3 linked regions of the Caenorhabditis elegans genome follow. The protein of the gene in region 3 interacts with the protein of the main gene of each other region in a pairwise test. Each region holds a gene or a part of one and is shown on either strand. Other genes may lie near its edges.

What was found. Proteins that work in one complex are often made in the same cells at the same time.
Region 1: the proteins of vps-39 (region 3) and cuti-1 interact in a two-hybrid assay, tested with the Caenorhabditis elegans proteins (one study listed by BioGRID).
Region 2: the proteins of vps-39 (region 3) and pbs-5 interact in a two-hybrid assay, tested with the Caenorhabditis elegans proteins (2 studies listed by BioGRID).

What each region holds. Positions count from the first base shown.
Region 1 is NC_003279.8:6,400,522-6,407,422, reverse strand, and holds cuti-1 (Protein cuti-1), read right to left. Parts: upstream 2,837-6,901; 5' UTR 2,831-2,836; coding exon 2,662-2,830; intron 2,585-2,661; coding exon 2,433-2,584; intron 2,354-2,432; coding exon 2,169-2,353; intron 1,918-2,168; coding exon 1,815-1,917; 3' UTR 1,718-1,814; downstream 1-1,717. Other genes in the region: ZC328.5 (Apple domain-containing protein), read left to right, coding at 487-546, 683-994, 1,338-1,541. UniProt on the Caenorhabditis elegans protein: Involved in cuticle formation and ensures cuticle shedding during larval development. Plays a role in maintaining the hypodermis. In association with vps-39, may play a role in vesicle tethering.
Region 2 is NC_003279.8:14,717,450-14,724,342, forward strand, and holds pbs-5 (Proteasome subunit pbs-5), read right to left. Parts: upstream 3,029-6,893; 5' UTR 3,014-3,028; coding exon 2,610-3,013; intron 2,559-2,609; coding exon 2,224-2,558; intron 2,023-2,223; coding exon 1,907-2,022; 3' UTR 1,718-1,906; downstream 1-1,717. Other genes in the region: Y54E5A.8 (Conserved plasma membrane protein), read left to right, coding at 1-69, 117-230, 789-1,062, 1,439-1,536; K05C4.2 (Protein jagunal homolog), read right to left, coding at 3,272-3,532, 3,582-3,890; sol-2 (CUB domain-containing protein), read right to left, coding at 4,472-4,677, 4,722-4,827, 5,266-5,744, 6,575-6,658, 6,795-6,893. UniProt on the Caenorhabditis elegans protein: Component of the 20S core proteasome complex involved in the proteolytic degradation of most intracellular proteins. This complex plays numerous essential roles within the cell by associating with different regulatory particles.
Region 3 is NC_003283.11:14,031,552-14,041,417, forward strand, and holds vps-39 (Vacuolar protein sorting-associated protein 39 homolog), read right to left. Parts: upstream 6,822-9,866; 5' UTR 6,799-6,821; coding exon 6,726-6,798; intron 6,679-6,725; coding exon 6,613-6,678; intron 6,563-6,612; coding exon 6,354-6,562; intron 6,306-6,353; coding exon 6,163-6,305; intron 6,119-6,162; coding exon 5,826-6,118; intron 5,774-5,825; coding exon 5,405-5,773; intron 5,361-5,404; coding exon 5,071-5,360; intron 5,026-5,070; coding exon 4,494-5,025; intron 4,447-4,493; coding exon 3,854-4,446; intron 3,255-3,853; coding exon 3,042-3,254; 3' UTR 2,772-3,041; downstream 1-2,771. Other genes in the region: ins-10 (INSulin related), read left to right, coding at 2,457-2,640, 2,697-2,770. UniProt on the Caenorhabditis elegans protein: Plays a role in vesicle-mediated protein trafficking to lysosomal compartments including the endocytic membrane transport and autophagic pathways.

The sequences.
Region 1 (6,901 bases), on a different chromosome or scaffold from region 3:
CATTGCCTCTAGAGCGCGTTTGCACAGAGACCATACAACGTTGAGGAATTTGGGTTTTGAGGATGCGCTATTTGAGAATGCAAAAAATTCAACTCAAGAAATAGAAATAAAATGAGCGATAATTAGCTGAAAACCAAAATATTGACTAAAACGTTGTAGCTTTCTCCACGCCAAATTCCAAGACAGCAAAAATTTGCGTCTTGACTAGAAATTTAAACTTGGAACTTATTTTCTAGATCTTAAATAGTGAGTGATCTATATTGCTTCTTAAAAGTTCGGTTATTGCAGTAACAATTAAGCAATGAAGTTCTTTTAAACTGTCTCAAAACTCTTGACATTACTGTATTCTTTGTTCGTTCCTATTTTCACTTCCCTATTTGAAAACTATGACGACTGACTTATTGAAGTTCTCATGTTTTATGAGTATCATAACTTGTGAGACTATTTTAGAACATAAAATGAAACATTATTCTGAACCTGAACGAGATGAGGTTTCAAATCTTTACTTTCTTGGCTCTACTAGCAGCGGCGATAAACATTGGCGAGGTAGGCATTTAAAACTGATTGGTTTGGTTTTACAGTAGTATTCAACAAAATTAATATGCATTTCAAAACTTGAATTTTTGTCATTTTTTAAATTCTATTACCGCTATAAATATTTCCAATAAATTTGTTTTTGAAGGGCGCAAAGCCATGTCGAGCCAAACGTCCGACCACTGAACCACCATCAACAACTACAGTGGAGAGTTCAACAACTCGTGATTCAAAAGCACCTTGTATGGCAGTATTTGAGAATATGAAAGAAGAAGAAGATGGTTTTGAAGATTATGCAATGGGAGTTACAACTGCAGCATCAGTACCAGAATGTAGTAAAACTTGTGAAACTGATGTGAAATGTGCATACAGTTTCTTTAAAACTAACAAGTGTTACGCTTTCGAGAGATTTAGACCAACTGATTTTGTGAAGAATGGAGGGATGCCACTTATTTTCAAGGTGAATACGGGATTAAACTCTGTGACGACAGCCACTAAACGACACGTATGTAGGTAGTAAACATGCCTGGGATAGGCATGATGCAGGCAGGAGGTACATAGGTATACGCTACGCTAGCATATAGGAGGTAGGTAGGCATGACGAAAGAACGTAAGCAGAAACGAGCTGAGAATCAAGCAAGGCACCTAGGTAGACGTAACGTAGGGAGTTAGACAGGTCTTCCTGTTTTGAAAAATTTTAAAACAGGACCGCAAATGTTCGGAAACAGGTAAAGCCGGCCTTCTGAAGCACTGATGCTGAGCTATAGCATATACATATCTTAAAATTAAAAATTATTTTTCAGCTATATCTCAACGGGACGGTCACATGTGACACTGCTACAATTGATGAATTGGCAAATACGAAGGAGAAAATGTACTATCCAGATGGTGGATCTTATTGGCTTTTCAAAAGTATTTTCGATAATTATTCTCTCAGTGTTAAAGATCCAGCCATGGGATATAAGAGAAGAAAGAGAAGTATTCTTTCGTGGTTACTCAATTTCTAATAAAGTTTTGTGTCGCGTTCAAAATGTTGAGAATTGGTAGTTTTTAAATTTTTAACTCGTGAATTACAGGATTTTTGTTGGGCAATAATAACAATTGAATGTTTTTAATGCTCAAATGAGCACAGAAACGTAACAAAACACATTGAACATACGAACGGACAAATAAAATTTAAAGTAAATTTCGAACCGTTTATCAGTAAAACTTTGATGGTAGAGAAATTATAATGAAAATAATTTAAGAAATTCGATTAAAAACAATGTACAATCAGAAATCTATCTGGTTTTGGATGACTCTCTGAGTTCGACGTTCTGCTTGTCTGCGAAGTAAGCTTTATCGTAGAGATAATCAGCAGCTCCTTGAATGATGATTCTTGTCCTGTAAAGTAAACAGTTTATACAGACAGATTTAAATCAATGGTTTTTAAATGTTATCTTCTGAAAGAAAGTTTTGAAACTTGAAACTCATTTTCAACATTTGTTTTATTGGGAGTTTCAAAATCTATTAGAGAAAAGTTCGCATTCTTAGAAAACTATAGAAACCATGGAAGTTCATGTTTTAGGTTCATAACATAGAATTATAAATTAATTAAAGTTAATCTATTAAAATCCAGGCATTTTAATTCTCACCAAATAGCAATTGCAGCAGTGAAGAAAGAAACAACAGCAATGTTGAATGGCCAAATTGGTCCGTAATCTTGTTCAATTCGATGAACTTTTCCAAATATTCCAAAGACTTGTCTTGTGAATTGAATTCCAAAGGCCATGCAAACAATAGAAATGACCGCCCAGATCAGGAGGAAACAGATTATAAACTGAAATTTAATAAGGAATTAAAAGTTTATAGAATAATTAAAGTAGCCGGAAACTTTTCGGAATGAAGGGAAGACTTACTTCAATAAATTTCAATTTTGATCCTAGCATCTGTGGATTTTCTTTCCAAAGTCCAAATGCCATTAGAGCACTTGTTAAAAGAGAAAGTACCGTAATACCAGCTTGAATATAAAACAACCATTTTCCAATTGAATCCGATTTGTGGCTCATTACTGAAAATTGTTTTCTTAAAACTTTAATTTCTAAGTTTTGTGAAATACAACTATTTCTGAACTTCCAATCAACTAACCGTAAAAACAAATAGCTCCAGTTCCCATAACAAGGAATTCAATAAATGCAGAAATGTACGAGGCAGTTGTATAATGCATTGAATTACACGTGGCAGGGGCATAGTAGAATTTGTCATGTGGAGAGTATACAAAGTTTGGAGGCAATGGAGCCACCCGGTCGTTTGGCATGATTTACTGTAAATGTTATAGAAATCAAATTTCAAAAAAAAGAAATATGTGGAACGCTTCGTCAGAATAAGGGCTTGAAACATTTATTCTAATCTTTGAGTGGAAATGTTTAACTCAGAAAAATTCCCATTGGGTTTAAGTGTTCCAAACTGATTGTGAGATGATTATAAAATGTTTAAATTGACCTTAAATGTACCTAATGAAAAGCGGAGAAGTTACCGTATTTTTTCTACATATTAATATGGCAGGCAATACAAGATTTTTACAAATTTGAGCTTGAAGTTACTGGTTTGTAATTACAAAAGATCACATGTTATATAGAAATCAATAAAAAACATTATAATTTGGTTTTCTTGTGAAATAGAAAGCACTTATCAAAACTTGGATGAAAATCTCATTAATATTTTCGACTTATTGAGCTGGCTTTCGCAAGTGTGTTGAACTTAAAAATTCACTAATCAGTAGAAAAACATTAAAAAAAATTGAATACCACTTCAAAAAAATCGATAAGGAAATATATGGATCAAAGTGAAAGACGAATGGTGTGTCTGTTGCCCGAAACGCATTCTCGTTCCTTTCCTTTTCCCAATTGTCCGTGTTGCCCTAGATATCCAGAGAAGAGATGTTCCGATTGTATTGAGATTAAGTGGAGGATCGAGAGAAATAAGAAAATGACCCGCTTGTGTGAGAGGGATTGTATCCGATTTGTGAATTGCGGAGAATGAATGAAGTACAAGGGTATTTATGGCGTCATCGCATATCATAAATGAAATACCACAAGTGATCTGGAAACCTGCGAATTATGTGCAAAAGATTCGTGTTACATGACAAATTTCATGAACTTGTCTGCAAAAGATTTCAGTATAAACACTTTCAAATTTGTAAAAAAATCGCCGACAGTGAAAACACTATCAAATGGCATAGTTTTCATTCAAAAATCTAATTGTCAGCTGAAATACTTGGCTTGTTAGGCAAAGCCCCCACTGACTATATTTTATATTTATGTCGGAAATATGTAGAACTACCGTAGTATTTGTGAAATGTCAAAAAAAAATCGCAAAACGACCAATAATAAATTGAATTATCGTGTTTTTCTCGAATTGTATTTATTAAAATTATTGAACAGGATGGCATATTTTTGTAGCATTGATTTTCGTTTTCAGAGGATATACAAAAATAAAGAGAACCTCTCCTTGTATACTTTCAGTAAAACATTGATGTACTGAAATTTCAATTTACTTTTTAAAAATTGTGAAATGAATAGGTTCTACTGCTCGGAATAAGAAAATTATATGGAAATTCAAATGGAATAACCTATCTGGTTTGTGGATTGTTTCCGTCATTCTTCTCGTAGTATGGCTGCAATACAACTTTTCAGACATTTTTTGTTTACGATTGCTAGGGTTACAAAGATTTGGTGGATTTTCAACAAAATGTTTTTAATAGAGCCAAAAAACAATAATTCCAACTAGTAAGTGAAAGTGTATTATTGAAAAATAATCAACAAAAACCTTTGGTAGAATATTAAAATTAGAGAGTTTGTTTTCTGAATATGTTTATTTTCAAATGAAGTTTTTCCTTATTCTTGCTGTCTTCGCCTTTGTTTTTTTATGTAAAAACTTCTTCTAAAGAGTTTTTAAATTTCTTTTTTGTTAAAAAAAAAGAGTTTCATCATAGTTTTTGATATTTAACTTTCCATTGATTGACTCATCTGATCACTTATTGCTTCAAACTTGTTCGTTTCTCTCTCAAAATCTTCAACTGATCACAAACCATTCTTCCTATCTTTTCCGCCCTCATCTGTTGTTTTCACTAGAGGCTCCCTTTCATTCATTGGCTCTTCAGGCGCCGGAAATCTCGACAAAAGTACGAAATAGTTAATGAAATTGAGAGAAACAGATAGTGTTCCAAAGTTTGCGAGGGTGGATGAGCGGCGCCAGAGATAGAAAAGAAAGGAAGAAGCAATGGAAGATGTGAATAAGATTCTACTTTTTTTTTCTCTTTGTTTTTGTTTTGTTATCATTTGATTGTTATTTGGAAAAAAGTGTCATCTGCAAAATGAATAGAGGGGTCGCAGTGTGAAGGTCCAGGAAATACAGTATCCAGGATTACTGTACTCAAACACATAACCAAATATACATGTTTGAAAACTTTCAGTCAAAGTTTTGGCAAATTGCCAAACTTTAAAATAATTTGAGCTTTTCTAGTCAAAAGATATTTCAAATATGAAATTTGTAGATTACGATAGGTGAATTACGATAGGAGCAAATGCCACTTTTTACAGTAAACTTTGAATAAAAAAATAAATTTTGACTAACTACATCTGATGATTAGATTTCTTCTTGTCGTGTTCATTCTGTGAATCTCAAAATTTTGAGCACTATGTACAATGAAGAAACAGACTAGAAGGGTCGATAACTTTAGACTTTGTATAAAAGGGAAATAACCAGCATCAGGAAAAACAGAATTCTCCTTTTCTAGATTTCACAGCATCGTTTGGAAGGTTTCTCACATTATTCAAACTTCAACAGTTTTCAGAAAACCTTTGCAACAGTCGGACAAAATTTAAAGTCATCATAAGATGACCCTCGACACGGATTCAGGACCAAATCGACATTTAAACCAAAATTAGCAATATTGTAGTCTTCATTAATATTTAAAAAAAATTTAACGGTCACTCTAAATATAGTTCAGAGCTGTATTGTTTATTTGTAGTTTCGTTCACTCCCTCTCGCACTCAAACCATTTTTCAACATTCTTCACTCATTGAATTGGGGGAACTCTCTCCCAAAAAACCCCCAGCCAGACGAGGAACGAAAGAGTCTAGTTGGTATTTGTTGACCATATCATCCACCCTTCTTTTTTCAGTTTCTATGTGTGTGTGTGCAAACTGTCGTTTTTCTATTTTTCTCTGCGTGCTCTTCTCACTTGGCTTTCTCGTTTATCCTGTGACTACTGTCATGATTCAATTGAAACGAAATACTCCCTCAAGTTTTTTCTCTGTATTTTGAGCTTGGTGTTGCATTTGTATCTATAGTTTGATTTGCAATTTCTGACCGATATTTGAGGGTTTGCTTTTGACTTTTCAATTTATAGCTCAAAGAAAATTCCAGAAAAATCAATGTATATCCGTAGACAAAAGCAGGGTAGAGGTGGGGAGGCGAAAGGGGCAAGATACCTAGGAGTCTGAAGTTCTATCTTTTAAGACAAAGTAGCCTCAATCTGTACTTTGTTTCTTTCCAGACCTCACATCTACACATGACCCCGAACAGGCGGTTCATTTTCGATCTCAGCTGAAAAGAGCTTTCGTTTCTTTCTCAAGATTTCCTCGAAATATCCACGAACCCCCACCTGATCGTTTATTTGTTCTTCTTCTTTCATCCATCTGTTCCTTTTCAACTATTTTTCAAACCTCAAAAGAGCATAAAAAGACAGTTCTATGCTTCCAAAAAATAGCTCGAACATGATCTATTGTCTCTCTTCGGGAGACCACCTGATTCTGTGAACAAAATTATTTATACGGGCGACTCAATTCGTTATTTGCACTTTTCCATCGTCTTTCCCGCCAAAAACCATGACCTTTTTATGACGTGTACTTTTTTCTTGAAAAGACACATTTTTGTACGGTTTTTGAACAGGCCAAGTGGAAATCTTTTGTGCTTTTCGGGGAAACACTTGGAAAAAGCAGATGCATGTCAGAAGACACAACATTTTGAATTGTGACACGATAAATGTGTGAAAGTAGAGGGGTATGAGGATTTTGCTTTGAAATGCCAAAAATAGTCTAAATTTTAGATGTACCTCAGAAAAAAAAACAAAAAAAATATCGAGAATTAATGACAGGGAATGAAGTCACAAATCTTCGGAAACACTGCACTTTCTTCCGTAAGATCACATACTTAATACCAATGAGATTAAATTGATGAAATTGAATCCTATTTTCTCTACATTTGCACACTTAACTTAGACTGTCAACGTGATCTCACAAAATCTTCCGACTCGAAACTTTCAAATATTCCCCCTTTCTCTTTCTTAACTGAAGACGCTCCATTCTAAATTTTTAATGCTACA
Region 2 (6,893 bases), on a different chromosome or scaffold from region 3:
GAAATGACACCGAAATTGGCGGCCGAAATTATTCAGAGTATGGGAAAAGACGCCGATCCTAGGCTTAAAGTTTGTCTCTTTCATATTTTTTAAATCGAAAACTATTATTTTTACAGGAAAAAATAAATAACAAAGAATTCTACTGGAAAGCCGTCGAACCAGGTGGCTCACGTGTCATTTCTGCTTCACTTCCACCACCGCCTACGCAGAAGAAAGAGCAAACGTCTACGGTGAGAATTTGCGCGTCAAATCTAGTGTTTTCGGTTATTTTTCCTTTGTGGACACAATACACCACATTTGACGCCAAATTTTTAAAGATAATTTTGCAGTTTAAAAATTTGTTGGTACCTTCAAAATGAACCAAGAGATATCCCCTGTCAAAATTTTGCACATGGTGCATCGACTCTGAAAAAGCCAGCTTCCGTAAAATTCCAATTCCCGCTGAAAAATGAGATATTTTTTGAATTTCAAATAATTTTCCAATTTCTGTTATTATGCAAATTTCAAGGTAGATGAAAAGATTCGATTGTGGTGGGACCCGACAATTCTATTATTTATCATTGGAGCGCGGTTACAGAGTTTTTAACTTTTTTAAAAATTTTGCCGATTATCGGTTTGTACGACGAAAATATTCTAACAAAATGAAAAAAAAAAAAAATATTCGTGACTATGGTAGCTTAAATGTTTATATCAATTTAGATAACGGCAGGACCCAACACCAACAATTTATATTTCTTTTAACATTAGAGCGCGCATGCTGACCACTTACCAATTTTCGATTTTTCCAGCCAAGTTCCTATTCCTTCAAGCCATCTGATTTCCCGTGGATTCTTGTCGGATTACTCTTCTGCATTGGAATTTTCATGGGCGTCATGCTTACCGCTTGTTACCATTTTATAAATAATATGCAAAAGGAGCCACAATTCGATCGTTCCAGTGCCATTATATATAATAAAGCTGGCGATAGTGTGGGCTCCGAGAGCCGCCGTCCGATGCTTCCCAGGCGGAGAGAGCAGCAAATTGAGCTTATAGAACGGGCATCTGTGGCACCTTCTATGTCCTGTAAGTTTTTAAAAAAATATTATATTTTTTTCACAAACAAGAAAAATGAAGTTTGCGCGTCAAATCTGATGCATTTTGTGTGTCTTTGCGTACTTTCCGATTGAGGACTCAAAACATCATATTTGGCGCGCAACCTTTGTGTTTGATCTACGGAAAACTTAGTTTTGGCAAATTTCGAACTACCCATTGACTTTCTCAGCCAAAACTGTACAATCCAAAGCTGTCGAAAAAATTAGAGAAAGTTGCAAAATATTCCTGGGTACGGTAGCTAAAATATTTAGATCCTACTGATACCCATTACTCTTAAAATCGCACTTTTTCTCAATTTTAATGGAAAAAAACAATTCAAATAATAGCACAATTAAACTATTTCCAGCTGGAACACGAATAGGCCCTGCGTGGCGGAACACTAATGGGACTCCAGCTGTTATAATCACCACGTCATCAACACCCAGCCGACACATATCGCTTTAACTTGATTTTCACATTCGAAAATTGCAATAAACTTTTGAGTGTAACTCCATCTCAGTATCCCTCTAGAACTACTTGATATTAATGTTCCAAAAATCCAATTTGTGCCATGTGATTGAGAGTTTCTTCCAGCCACCCCTGTTGTCGAGGGAAATTCTAAATTCTAAGCCTAAATTCGGGATTTCGAACTTGAAAACTTTAGAACTTAATGTACAGAGAGTATTTAGCAAAAGAAGAATAAATTAATTGGAAACGAAAAATAGAAATAAATGACATTTTAAAGACGGGTGTGTATGTAAAAAAAATCGGGATCGGATCAGACATCAAATACATGTAAGAAGAATAAAATTAATTTCAGCGTAGGGAAATTGAATCACTCGACTGGGTTGTAGGTGATATCTCTGCCGAGCTCATCGGCAAACTCGTACCACAGCTTGCTCACGTCCATTGGTGGAAGACGAATCTTTTCGGTTGGCGTGATGTGGCACACTGAAATTTGGAGGATGAAAAATAGAAGCGATTAGATTAAAGGTGGCCGGAGATTTCACAAAATGAACCAATTTTTTCATTTATCCGAAGAATTTTTTCGAATAAAAATCGTCTAAAATTTAAATTTTAGACAAAATAAAAGCCATTTTTAGTGAAAAATGGTCCATTTTGTGGAATAGCCGAGCAAAAAGCTTCACGTACAATTGCAGACGCCTCCGGATCCAGAATCCCGATAAGTGGCGTGCATGATCGCACGCAGGCCGAGCTTTCTGGCCTCGTCGTCCGTCATCTTTGGCTTGTAGTGATTATCGAGGATACCGTAGGCATTCAGAGATCCTGAGCCAACTGAGCACACTTTAAGCTGGCAACGATCTCCTTCCGAGTCGACTTTGAAGATTTGTGGTCCCTTCTTATCGTATCCGGCCACCATCGATCCAACTGACAATCCTTGTCCTCTGTATCCATAGAGCGTATTTGCAAAGTACTTGCTCGCGGCGCTCACGGTGATTGAGGTCTTCTCGCGGAGCTCGTACAAACTGAAAATAAATAATTATTTTTGTTTTGAAGCTGAAAATATTGAAACTCACGTGCAGTACTTGGCGACAATTCGGGTCCAGAACTGACAGTCAGCAGCTCCTCCAGCCATCGTGGCAACCATACGATCTCCGATGTCCAAGATCTTCATGACCGACTTGGATGAGATGTATTCACCACTGGAGGCTCGTGAATCGACAGCCACAATGATTCCTCCCTTGTCAGCTGGAGTTGCTGGCTCGTAGACGAACGCCAATGTGGTGGTTCCTTTGCGGAATTGCATGGATTTTCCGGCGGTCTCGGCGAAGTGAGTCTTCATGAAATCGACGGGCTGGATTCCCAACGGAAGCTTCGCGAAAGTGAAATCAGCTCGAGCCGGCTCGGCGATCAGGTTCTGCTTGGCCATTGCCATCTCTCCTTCGTCATTCTCGAAATCGTCGAATGTCTCGCCCCACATCTTTGGAGTTCGATTCTGAAAATTGATTTAACAAAATGAAACAAATGCAATCAATATTGAAACAGAAAAGTATCAACGGAACTGTAGAACAGTAACCGGTAATTAGAAAAAGTAAGAAAATAAATAAAAGATATGGAATTATTAATTTGGCAATAGAGACTAGCAGGAATTTGAATAAAAATACTATTAACAAGGAAAAGGTACACAACTCAACAAATGGGGGAAAATTGAAAAATAATATCACAAAACGGAGAAAATTTAATCTCGCTTGACTGGAGCCCATGCGGCGGCAAGGTGATGCATGAAGTACATGGAGAATCCGTGAATCTGGAGTGCGACCGCGAAGAAGATGTACCATATGATGACCATCGGGAAGATTCCTTTGAATGTCGGTGTGTTGCTTCCCTCCATGTCTTGAGCATACTCCATCAGCTCTGGAAGTTGTCCTCCAAGCCCGATCATGCATGGGAAGATTCCGACGACGAACTCGGCATAGTAGGCGTAGTGGAGGATCTTGAGCTGAAATAAGAAGTTATATTTGTGGCAAATTGATCAATAAATAAATTACTTTGTTTCGTTGGAACGAATAGATGGCGAGGACGATCGGAATGAATGAGAAGCACCACACATACTCCCATGGGTAGGCTGACGGCATGTCCAGTCGATCGAAGAACGCGTTTTTCCATCCGAAATTTGTTCGGAGGAGTTCGCTGCCAACCTTGAGCCACATGAAGACCAGGATCAAGAAGTGTGGAACGAAGAACCACTTGAGGATCGACTTGTATTGAGCGCTCTCCTGGTAGTGCTGTGCGACCCTCTGCCGATTTTGGAAGTCCGTCCCATCGGTACCCGCCGCTCGAACTCCTCGTGATGACATTCCCGCTTGAAGTGAGCTGAAATAAAGATATAATTGAGTTTCAAGTGATTAAAAAGAGAAATTAAGAAGAAACAGCGAAGAATAACATCTGAGCTGAAAGTATAAATTTCACAGGTCCCAATATCGACCAACTCTACACATTCATCAGTATTTCCATAGAAAGAATGAGAAAACTCGTTAAAAAAGCGAAAACCTGCGAAAGATATAGAAAATTTTGTTTTAGTTAGTTTTAGTGATGACAAAAGATGACAAAAAGACGAGTCTCCGCCCCTTTGCAATGCGCGCGCGCGGTTTTCGCAATATCGCCGCACGGAGTTGCCGTTATTTTTCTTTTACTTTCCCGCTGATAAAGAATTAATATTTCCATAATTCTTTCTATTCTGCCAGGCAAAACACTTGAAAATTGTCGAAAGTAAATAATTTATATGTTTGAATAATGTTTATTAAAGTTTCAAATTAAAAATAAAAGAAAAAAGCTCCGTTACATTAACTGAAAAGCAATTTTAAATTATAAAATTGTGAAAAATTCGATAAATTTGTCGAGCGAATCGCGAAAACATTCACAATTCGCTCTCTAATAGTCACCGGTTCGGCTGTATCCGTGTTGTAATCGAATTATTATTCATATTTTTACATTTCCCATTCTCCGACGCGGCTCTTCGTTCCCGAATCATCACCCGAAGCCGTCGCCGCTTCCTGAACTGATCACAGCACACCAAGACGAGCATCGTGAGCACAATCAACGAGAATCCGAGTGCCGCCGATGTTATTATCTCTCGGGAGTAACCTGGAAATTTTTAGATCTTGGATTTTACTGGAAAATGAGCTTACAGTGTTGCTCGTCGGAGAAATCTCCTTCAACACAATTATGGATTCCGTCACAAACGAGAGAGCTGTGAATGCAGAGACGGGACCGTGAAGCGCAAATTCCATGACCCTGAAGTAGAAAAAAGTAATTGAAAATACATGGATTTCAGCATTGTGGCAATTCAATTTGTTAAATATCAAAAATACAAATCACGAAAAGGCTAATTAATTTTTCTTACAAAACAAAATTTATTCTAAATAGGTTCTGTTCAACTTTAGAATTTCTCCTTTTTTTTCGAATATTCAGACTGTCGAATTTATGTTTTCTCCCGTTCAAAAATCAATTTTCCAGCTCGAAACTAGCAAATGTCGTGAAATGGGATGTTTTTGGGTACTGTAGTTCCGTTTGCGTACTTTAGTGACTACACTAACCCAAAATTTTGGATTAAATAAAAAGTTTTGTAATTAAACAACTCTTTTTTTTTGAATTTATGATTCAAGTTAATTTCTAAAAAATAACAAGGAACTACATATAGATTCATTGAAAACATTCTGATTTTTCACAAACCTGTTCAACACAAACTTGTCCCCCATGGCACATAAATTGATCCTTACAAGAATTTCCATTAACACTCTCATCACCTTCTCCAATCAGACCCTCCACTGCAGTCCATACAACTTTAAATCCAATCCTCTCTTCCCCAATCATTGAAGACGGTGGTCCTTCCTGTGTAATAAATCGTACAACAATTCGATTTGCACTTGATAAATAGCTTTTCATTCCCTCTTCTGCATAATACAGCTGACTTCCACAGAATTTTGCTTCAGACGTCTCTGACGTGGATTCCTTTCGATCAATTCCATATTTTTCATGTTTATATCCATCGATTATTGTTAGTGATGCTCGTTCACATTCTGCAATAGTGGGGGCCAAGTGTAAATGAACTATTCGAATGTAGATTCGTTGTCGGGCTTCTACACGGATCAACCAATTACACGTGGAATTCTTCGGATATGTGGTTGGATAGCCTGGTGACAGTATTTCACCTGAATATTATAATTGTATAATGTAGAAGTTTCAGATTTTAAGTTTTTTGAATTTCTTATGGTGTGTCCATAGTCTGCGGAAAACGGGAATTTCCCGCGTGCGGAAGCGTCCATAGTCTGCGGAAAAAAGAAGGAGTTTCTCGCTTTGTTATTGGTCAATTTCAAAATAGTGGGCGTGTCCAACAAATTAGAGGTTGTAAAATTTTAAGCTGAGCAATGGGAAAGCGAAAAAAGACCACGCCTACTTTTTTGAATTTTGAGGAAAAAAAAGCGAGGAAACTACGGTTTTTCCGCAGACTATGGACGCTTCCGCACGCGGGAAATTCCCGTTTTCCGCAGACTATGGACGCACCATTACAGAAATAGTTTTATAGATTTTGAAATTTTGAAATTTCAAAAAAAAAAATCACCTGGTGTCCGAGTATTTTCATTCCACGGCCACGTAGTAAGGTAACAGTTTTTGCAACGTAGCCTAGAAAGAAACAAACCTCGGCCACCAATTAAAGCACTTTTCCTCTTCAAAATTTTTCGAAACATGAAGGTGTCGTGGCCGCGAGCAAGGGTGTCAATTCCCGTTTGTCCCGTTGTCCCGTTTTTGGGGTGTTTTCACGGGAACGGGAATTCCCGCTGTCCCGTTTTTGTCATTTTTACGGGAACGGGACGTCTTTTGTCCCGTTTTTGAGCGTTTTCACGGGAACGGGAATTCCCGTTGTCCCGTTTTTGTAATTTTTACGGGACACTGACACCCTTGGCCGCGAGAATAGGAAACTTGGTCCCCAACTTTTCACGCAGCCATGTGGCAAAAATTTACAAATTTCTTAAAACCTCACCAGAAAGTTGTCCAGGAGTGGAATGTCCACCACAACCACTGAACATTGATTCTCCGAGGGTTGAAGATGGCTCCTGGATTGCTGCTGGAAATGGTATTTTTAAAGGGAAAATTTGCTAGAACTTCGCAAGAAGCATGGGAAATTGAAAAGAAACAAGATAGAAAAGTTGTCTACAAAGAACTGGTTGAAAAAAATTATACTAGTTTCCAGCTCTACCTACCCTCCGAAAGAATCCTGTACTGAATCCTAAACCCTCGATGCTTCTGATTAGTTGAAGTAGTGACGAATTGAACTTGCATCCATGATTGCATAGTATTAA
Region 3 (9,866 bases):
TGCATTTTGACTCCATTATAACCTGCTCATTAATCTAGTATAAAGAGGAGGACAGTAATTGAGTCAGAACATTTCTTAATGATGAGGAAGTTTATATTATCTATTTTGATGGTAACTCAACAAGTTATGTTGACCATATAGGACAGTAGGCTGAATTCTGTAACCACCCACCAATCAATAAATATTTTCAGAGTATCTTCATACAATTTGGCTTGTGGATTTGAATCGTCTTCGAACATGATGTCTGTTAGATTCAAGACAAATTATGATCTTACCGATAAAGGATGGTTGGCGACGTGGAAGGCAATGAAGAATATGCCAGTTATAAGTCAAAGTGGATCAAATGGGGCAATGATTTCACCCAATTATCCATTAACCTATGATTCATACGATGAACAAGTCTATCAAATAAGTGTTGCCTGGGGAATGCAGGTCAATTATCAATTGATGTATTCCGAACGCAGAACAAAAATGATTATTTAAATATTTATAACAGCACTACACAGTCGAATAGTACTCTTGTAACCACGTAAGTTTTTACTTTTTAATAAATGACGGGTTGGTACGACCATCTGAAGACGTGCCTGTCTACTATAAAAGTTTCAATTTTCCTCATTAATAATATTTCTAAATGTGTTTTTAAAAAACTATAGATACAACAACGACGTGACTTACATTTCTGAACTAATTGAACTTTTCCAAAATTGTTGACTAAAAGAATTGCTATCAATGTTTGAAAATAGTTTAATCACTTTTTATTGCTCCCTCTCGAGTTTATCGACCCTTCACCATTTTTAAATTTTGAAAATATTAGACTATGAATACAATAGCACGGAGCAAAACCAAACTTCACAATTTTCTCGTTAAAAATAGTTTAAATATACCAATCAATATTCCACTCATTCAGATTATCCGGACAATCGGTAGCTCCATTCAACTACATTTCTCCAAGAAGCTACATGTCAATGAAATTTGTATCTGATGGATCACTTCAATACACTGGATGGCATGCATTTTGGAGCATTTGCTAGTTGAAATTCCCTAACATTAAATTCGATTCAATTTGATCGAAATACGACTAGTGATCAGTTACATTTGTAGTGAAAATGTTTTACAGAATTTTTCATTGACGCACACAGTGTGCATACAATAAATATCAATCAAAACAAATTTGAATCGTTTGAAAAACTTTGAGTAATACATTTTCTTTCTTCGAGTTTACTAAAATTTTAGGTCAGCTTCTCATTACCAGAAGCTAGGGTATTTATACTTTTTCTGACAACATCTACAATATTTGTCCTACCATAATTCAAAACTCTCAAAAGTATTATGACGTCATCTATTTTCATGTACAAAACTTGTAAATGTATATGTTTTTCTGTTTTAACAACTTCTACGTCTTCTCGTTCGTCCAGAAGTTTCTCCGATTTCTGATCTTGGAATGTTTTTGTCGTCGATTTATGTCGTAAAGAGCATCGTCATCAAATATCCAATTACTAATAATATGCCCTTTTCTTTCGGATCATGAACCAAAATTGGAGAAAAAAAATGTAGTAGGGGGTGTGTGACTATCATCTGTTTATGTCGGTGTCAAATTTCGTTCATTTTTTCATGTTTTAAGTTTTTGATTCCGTGACAAATCCGACAAATTCCGAACAAAAAATCAAACTTCCAAACGTGGAAAATAAGGAACTGATCATATTTCAGACTGGGAAACTTTGTTCCATCAAATTGGTCAGAGAGAGATCCAATTACCAAAAACGTGGAAAGGAACTTTCTATGAACTTTGGCATAAGATTATGATTTTCTGAAATAGAAAAAAATGTTGTGTCAATTTGGAAAGCCGAAATGTTGTCTTTACGATTTTTATTGTTTAATTTTGTTTTAATTTTCGAAAGTCACAATTTTTGAAAATTTGGCAATTTTCCAAAAATTCCGCTGAATTCTTTGAAAAATCTTTGCAGCAAATTGTCGTCTTGGGTCCTCGCACGAACAAAACTTCTCACCTACCGTAACCCTGCTGCTTTTGCATCCTGGGTACGGTAGTTTGAAAAAACTTTGTTCGTGTCAGGACCTTGTTTCGTAATATGAAGACTCTTATCAAAAATAAAATTTGATAACCTTATTACTAAATTATGAAACTCAAGTTTCAGAAAAAATTTCCAATTTTTAAACATAAATTTCAAAAAAAAATTCCTGATCTGTATGTCTGTTAGTCTAGATGTCGGGAATTCTTCTTTAAAAGTATATCCCCATTTCCTTATCCTCCAGACAACTTCTTCTCAAGTTTCTCCACCCTCTGAATCTCGTGATTCCATTAAAACTCGGCGCCGCCCATTTCCACTTTTCCAGAATGCTTCCAAAATCAGAGCTCCACCCTCGGTTTGTCCTTGGATTTAATACATTTTATTTGCCCGTTCATTTGGACTTTATCACAATTTCCAGCACTTCTAACAATGTCACTGCATTTCTCCACTATTCAAAAAACAATTCTTCTAATCTCATTCTTGCTCCTCGTAACATTGGCTCCCAGAACAAGTGCAGCTTTTCCATTCCAAATTTGTGTCAAAAAAATGGAAAAAATGTGCAGAATCATCAATCCAGAGCAGTGTGCACAAGTAAATAAAATCACTGAGATTGGTAAGTTGTTGAGAAAATAATTTTTTAAAAGTTCCTATTCAAAATGAAATTTTCAGGAGCATTGACAGACTGTTGCACCGGACTGTGCTCCTGGGAAGAAATCCGGATCTCCTGCTGCTCCGTTTTATAATATATAATTCGTCGTTTTGCCTTTTCATTGAATTATTTTGAATTTTGTAAAATGGAATAAATGGACAGATTTGTATACAAGAGAATGTTACACGTACAATAAAAGTGAGTGCGCTGGAATGAGAAAAAAGTAAAAGGGGACTAGAAGACATGTGATGTGACAAGTTGTTACAAGGATAAAGGCACATAAAATCAGTAAAAAATCTATACAAAAATACGTCTTATAGATACAAAAATTAGTACATTTCAGGTACTAGGTACCGTACTTCCTTTCAATTTCTGTTTCCTCCTTGAGAATCATTATGGCAGTAGAGATGTGCCAATCGACCATCCGGATACCGGACAAATGCGCTTACAGCGATTTTCTTCTCACAAACAACACATTCACTTGAGAAATTGACGATGATTTTAGTAGATTGCGCCTTGTTTTTGCGCTCCAGCTTCTTTGACATTGCACATTGGGACACAGATTTTTCCATTTTTCGCTGAAAATTTTCTAGATATAAAGCTTAAAGATTGGAGGTTTTGTAAACAATTTTATCTACGTAGAGTATACGCAACAGTTTGATCATTGAAAGTGTGTTTAATTCTGTAAACATCCTAAATTCAACCGGAAATTCGATCAGAGTCCAAGATATTGCTTATTGTAATTTCACAAAATTTGACATGCCTGCTTAAAGGCGCATAGTCTTTTTCAAATGGGTCTCTACGCGCAAAAAAGTTTAATGTAGTCTTTTTTTTTCGGCTGCTCTCTCGCCGATTTCCTTTTTTAAAAAGATAAATTATATGTTTACGTTTCATTTTCTGATAAAAAATTATTAAAATCAATTTTTAAAGTGAAAAATATGTTTTCCAATTTAAAATGCGCATTTTTTCTGTTTGTAGGCCTTAAAAAAATATTAAGAAAAAATTATGAAAAAGCTCAGGGAAAATAAAAGATAACGCAGCTGCAAAAAAGACTACCATAAACTTTATTGCGCGCCAAGACCCATCTGAATACATTCGTGCGCTTTCAAGAAGGCATGTCAAAACCTTGGACAATTATAATAGAAAAGAAAATAATGAACGCATCTCTGAAACTTACAGTGCTCGCTTGTCGTCCGGTAGTTTGAATCACCGCGTTAATTGCCGAGAACACGACTCTGAGCGGAGTGGTGGCTGGAAGCATATTCAATGCTCCAACTGTATCGATTTTATCTGCATGTTTTGCCAGAATCTTGATTGCTGTATTGACATCTGGTTGATACGATGATGTAGAGTTGACTAACGTTGATGCTTCAGAAACATCATCACGATATGATCCGAATGGAGTCGAATCGGCGTGATAAGGAATCGAGTGCAGTTGTTGCTGATTTGGATGTACCAGAGTTCGGAAGAGCATCAGATACACCTGTGAATTGGTCTCATCGTGTGCATTGTAGTAGAGTCTACAGTACTCCTCTGCTGCAGGCACATTCTTCAGTGTATTCACATATATAGCAAGCGCCTGCTCGTGTTGTTTCAGTCGTCCAAGAATCAGAGCTCTTTCCTCGTAAAATGCATGTGGTGCTAGTTGAAGAAGCACTGTTTGTGGACTGTATGAATGGGAAACTTCGAGAAATTTCAAAAGTCGTTTTCGGTAGAGGCCCAGCTCGCCATCCTCGTCTCCCGCGCGAGTGATATTCTCATCTGAAAATGCTTTTAGAGGTTGTATTTTTTTTTTGTTGTGCTATGAATCAACATACCGTCTGGGAAAGCGTGTACATAATCCTTAAACAAAGTGTTGACTCGTGCCACATAGAATTCCAAAAGTGTCTCGTGAAAATATGAAGAAGGTTCTTCCCATTTGAAAATCACGTGCTCCAAGTACGGAATCAGTGCATCCGGGCATTCGGATTTCAAAAATTCCACGACGGCTTTTCGATTTAAATTTCTAGCCATTTCTGTTTCGTCACTAGTGAATATTTGAACTCCGGCTTCCAAATTTTTGGCTAGTACCCATTTTGCGTACTTTAGAATTAGTGGCAAATTGCTATTTCCAAGACTTTGAAGATATTCGACAATTTGTTGAATAGCATCATCGAAAAATGGATCAGCATCCGGGCGGCTAGATTGATCGATAAACAAATCGAGAGCCATTTCATGCTTTTTGCGGGTTTCGTAAAGAATGAATAAAGATCGGAGACGTCCTTCAGATTCGAGGATCTTCTTTGCATCCTCAAATGTGCACGCGTTGCTTTGAAGACGAATTAGAGAATCCACAAGCATTGGTTTCGTCTGAAATTTTAATTTGTTTTAATTTTCCATAATTATTCGAAAAACCTTAATATAACACTTTAGAAGTGTTGTATCTACAACTCTCAATGTCAACAAGAGCTTTGCCTTCTCATCTTCATCAGTTTTCTTTGCCGCTCCCGATGAGTACAAACGATTGTATAATTCAATATGCTTCGCGTGTTCAGTTCGAATTTCAGATAGATAACTACCGAGAGCCAAAAGAGCACGCATTCTGTCGTTAGCAGGCATATCACTGACAACTCCGGTCATTGATTGAAATCCATCTGGAAGAAGCTCGGGAAACATTCGAATAATTGAGAGCACTTCTGAAATATCTCAAAAAAAATTTTAATTTTCTTATGTGAAATGAAGCACTAACCGGTTTTAATTTCTCCAAATAATGCGAATGACTCGTCAAACTTCTTCTGATTGAATAAATTCAATGCAGCCTTCTTTTTAATTTCTAATTTCTGTTCTTCTGCAAATAAATTCGAATTTTCAGCCAATTGAATTGCTAGCTCGAAATGACGTTCCTGTATCAAATGAGACACGTTTTTTCGAAGATTTTGTGAAGTATCAAGAATCCAAATATCGGAAAGAGCAGCGACGAACACTTGTCCACGAGCACCACTGCAGAGTGTCATAGCCTTCGGGAGGGACATTGTCTGTACAAGTTGACCATCGAAAATTGAACGAACTTCGACGCGGCCTTTTGAGAGCATTCCAACCAAGTAAGGTGAATCGTATACTGGAAATTTATAGGTAACTAATTAAATAATTTAATTCCACAATAAAGTTACCGATTTGCATGGGAACTTCGCTGAACTTGTACTCGTCACTTAATACATTTGCCGGACGTTGTCCCCAAATATCAGTGGTTACAACTATTTCATTCCTCACAAATGCAACTCTTCTTCGATCGATCATTGGCACAATGCCAGGCTGACAGTTGAAATTTAAAAGACGAGTTACAAAACCATTCCATCCTTCCGGAGTTGAACCTTCACTTGGCGAAGTGGTTGTCTTATCTTTTTGCATTGTCATAGAAAAATACTCGTTTCGAACAGAAAAGAATACCATTTCACCAACGCATCTGTAATTTATTCTATCTTTAATTTGTTTCATAAACTTTTGTACCTTATAGATGTTGGAGTATCCAAGAAAACTGGATTATAATCCAATGCAACTTCTATAAATTCTTTGTGGCCATCTTTCTCTCCCCATTTGAATAAATATAACTTCTTTCGTGACGAAACAATTACGTACAGGTCTCCAGATGTCTGAAAACAAAAATATTGAATAGAAAATTCGGAAAGTTTCCAATGAACCTTGGGTGAAAATCTTGCAAAAGTCTGAACAGGCTTCACTTTGTGAATTAATGTTTCAACTTTATACTCTGGATCGCTGAGCTTGTGAGCCATCAATTGACCGTCGGACACGCACAAAAGGAGATCTTCACGTTGGCAAACTTTCAGTTCCATTACTGCTTTCTTGTGAAAGCTTTTGCAGATATTTGTGAGCTCGAATCCACGACGATCTGTAATTTATCAATATTTAGAAATAGATTTCTTGACGATTAAATATTACTAGCTGAAATTGTGTATGCATAGAGATGTCCTGCTCTTCCACCGGCTAACAAGGTTTGATTCGATTCTGAAAGCAATCATGATTGTAAATTCCAGTGATTTGATATTGAAAACCTTGAAATGCAAGACATGTTACTTCTACGGGTAATCGGAGAGCTACTTCGCAAGGCGTGTATGCATCGTACATTTTGCTTTGGTGGGTCGAAGTACCTGAAATGAAATTAAAACTGAAAATTATGACAGTAATATAGAGAAGAATAAATTTTCGCAAATAAATAATGCCGAATAATCAAAACAATTATTTGTGTCTCGAAAAAACAGACTTCAAATTATCGTTCCCGAAGAGGGGGTACGCTTTCGTAAGGGGATTTTTTCGTAAGGAACGCTTTCAGTAGGGCAATGTGCGGCGCGCCTTTTCGCAAGCCCGCCGCACAGTCCTTCGCAATCGATTCGAAATCGATTGAAACCCGTTTTTGTCATCGAAAATTCTGAAAATATCCGTATTTAGCTCGAATAAAACTAATTAATTTCCATTAAAAATCCGTTTTTAATTGAATTCCGTTCGAAATTTCCTGTTGGAAAAATAAATAAATAAATACGAAGAAGCGTGCGGCGCATTGCAAAAAGCCGTGCGGCGCATTGCGAAGGACTGTGCGGCGGGCTTGCGAAAAGGCGCGCCGCACATTGCCCTACTGAAAGCGTTCCTTACGAAAAAATCCCCTTACGAAAACGTACCCCCTCTTCCCGAAGTGCTCGACGAGTAAACGCGCTCCATTGAACACTTTTTTCGCGCGCATTCAAATTTAGTTTTTTCATGCCTCCAATATTTTTGTATGGAAAATTGATCGTTTCGCACTGAATTTGTAAATTTTGGAAGAAAATTTTTAACCAAAAATGCTGAAAAAAAAAATTAAAATTAAATTCTTGAAAAAAAATAAATTTTTTTCACATTCCAAAAATCACAGATAAGACTACAAAATATCATGAGGGCCACTCCTCGGAAAAAGCTGGGAAAAAAGACAATATTCAAGTCGACTTGGAAACATTCGTAGCCTGTTTTTTTTCAGGAATCGAAAATCAGCAGAACTCTACACATCATCAGTGCATTGAGAAGACAATATAATACGTTTATAAATTGGAAAATTTATTATTAATATTATTCACTTTATTATAATTAAACTTAAAAAAAATAAATATTAACAAAGTTATTAAGAGAGCGGACGCATTTTGTGCAGTGGAGGTGGGTCGCCCTTTTCTGCAAAATCCAGGAGTTCGAGACGAAGAAGTGGATGAAGAAGGCGGTGGAGGTGGACTATCTGAAAATTTTCCAATTTAAAAACCTAGGGGAGACTGAATTTTCGGACTTTTACATAAATCTGACTGACCAAGAGAAAAAAATCCGATTTTTGTAGGAAATCCAGGAGTTCGAGATGAAGAAGTTGATGAAGATGTTGGTGGTGATGAAATATCTGAAATGTTTTAATTTAAAAACCTAGGGAAGGCTGACTTTTCGGATTTTTACATAAATCTGACTGACCAAGAAAAAAAAATAGGGGTTTTGGCAGATCCAGGAGCTGGAGACGAAGAAGCTGATGAAGATGGTGGACGTGGTGGACGATCTGAAATGTTTCAATTTAAAAACCTAGGAAAGACTGAATTTTCGGAATTATACATCAATTAAACTGACATAGAGAAAAAATCCGATTTTTGTAGAAAATCCCGTCGTTCCAGGCGAAGAAGTGGATGAAGGTGTTGGTGGTGATGGAATATCTGAAATGTTTCAATTTAAAAACCTAGGAAAGACTGACTTTTCGGAATTATACATCAATTAAACTGACATAGAGAAAAAATCCGATTTTTGTAGAAAATCCCGTCGTTCCAGGCGAAGAAGTGGATGAAGGTATTGGTGGTGATGGAATATCTGAAATGTTTCAATTTAAAAACCTAGGAAAGACTGACTTTTCGGAATTATACATCAATTAAACTGACATAGAGAAAAAATCCGATTTTTGTAGAAAATCCCGTCGTTCCAGGCGAAGAAGTGGATGAAGGTGTTGGTGGTGATGGAATATCTGAAATGCCCCTCTACTGAACCGTCAATTCTTTCAAACAGCAATGTCTACAATCAGAAGCCAGCGAATCGTGATCTATATTCCTCGGTGATGAAGAAGAACCCTGTGCTGAAGAAAGTTGTCGAATCGATTAATCTGGTATCTACTGCTCATTCCTTTGAGAAGAAATCGAATCTAGCTGTTCTGGAAAACCTGCCCGATGCGAAAAACCCGGATCAAGTTAGTTCCGATTTTAATCTGGTTAAATCTTTCTCCCTTGAATTCTCTCTCCCTGTTCCCACTGAAGTTTTTAGAGTTGCTACCAAAAATTCCAAAATCATTTCCCGGCCAACTAAAGTTCGTTTCAATTCTGAATCCCTTCGCGATGAATTTCTTACCGGTTTCTATAAAAATTGGCGCAACTTTTCCTCTATTCCGCAATCTCCTCGACCGATCCGTGCGCGTAGGGACTTGACTCCCCTCGAGCTTGTCGCGCTTCGTGAACTCCGTAAGGAGGCCTACGAAGCGAACCAGGCTGCGGGCTGCATTGCGCACGTTATCCGGGATCTTGAAATTGTGGACCTGATCTATCCTCGTCCTTTTCCGATGAACCCAATTTCAATCCCTCTCGCCGCATAGGGAGACGGCCGCCTGACACTGAATGATTTAACGCCTCTTTCAAATGACATCCCAACACAACAAACATCACAATTAAATACAAAACTTAAACATAACTCAAAGGCGGCTCTCGTCTGTGTTTCAAAGCCCAAGCTGGTTAATTGCATGTAGGCTAATGCTCGTTCCATTGCATCGCTTGAAAAACTTGAATTTGTCCATAAGTTCGTAGCCTCTAATAGTTTAGACATCTTGTTTGTTACCGAAACATTTCTAAGTAATGCTTTTACTGATTTCTCATGCTCTTCACCTCACTATACCTGCATAAGATCTGATCGGCTTGAGTGCCATCCAAAAAATGCGGCGGAGGTACTGCTGTGTTTTTTCATAAAAAATGGGCTCTTACGCCTGTCTCAATTGCACCTTCCTTTTATCTCTCGCATTTTTGTCAAATTCTGGCATTAGACCATAAGCAATCCAAAACTAGATTTATACTGATATACCGCCCCCATCCACTACCGCAAGTAGAACCGCTGAGCTCTTTAAAAATCTAAACCAGCTTCTCGACTGCCCCTCCTATACTTATGTC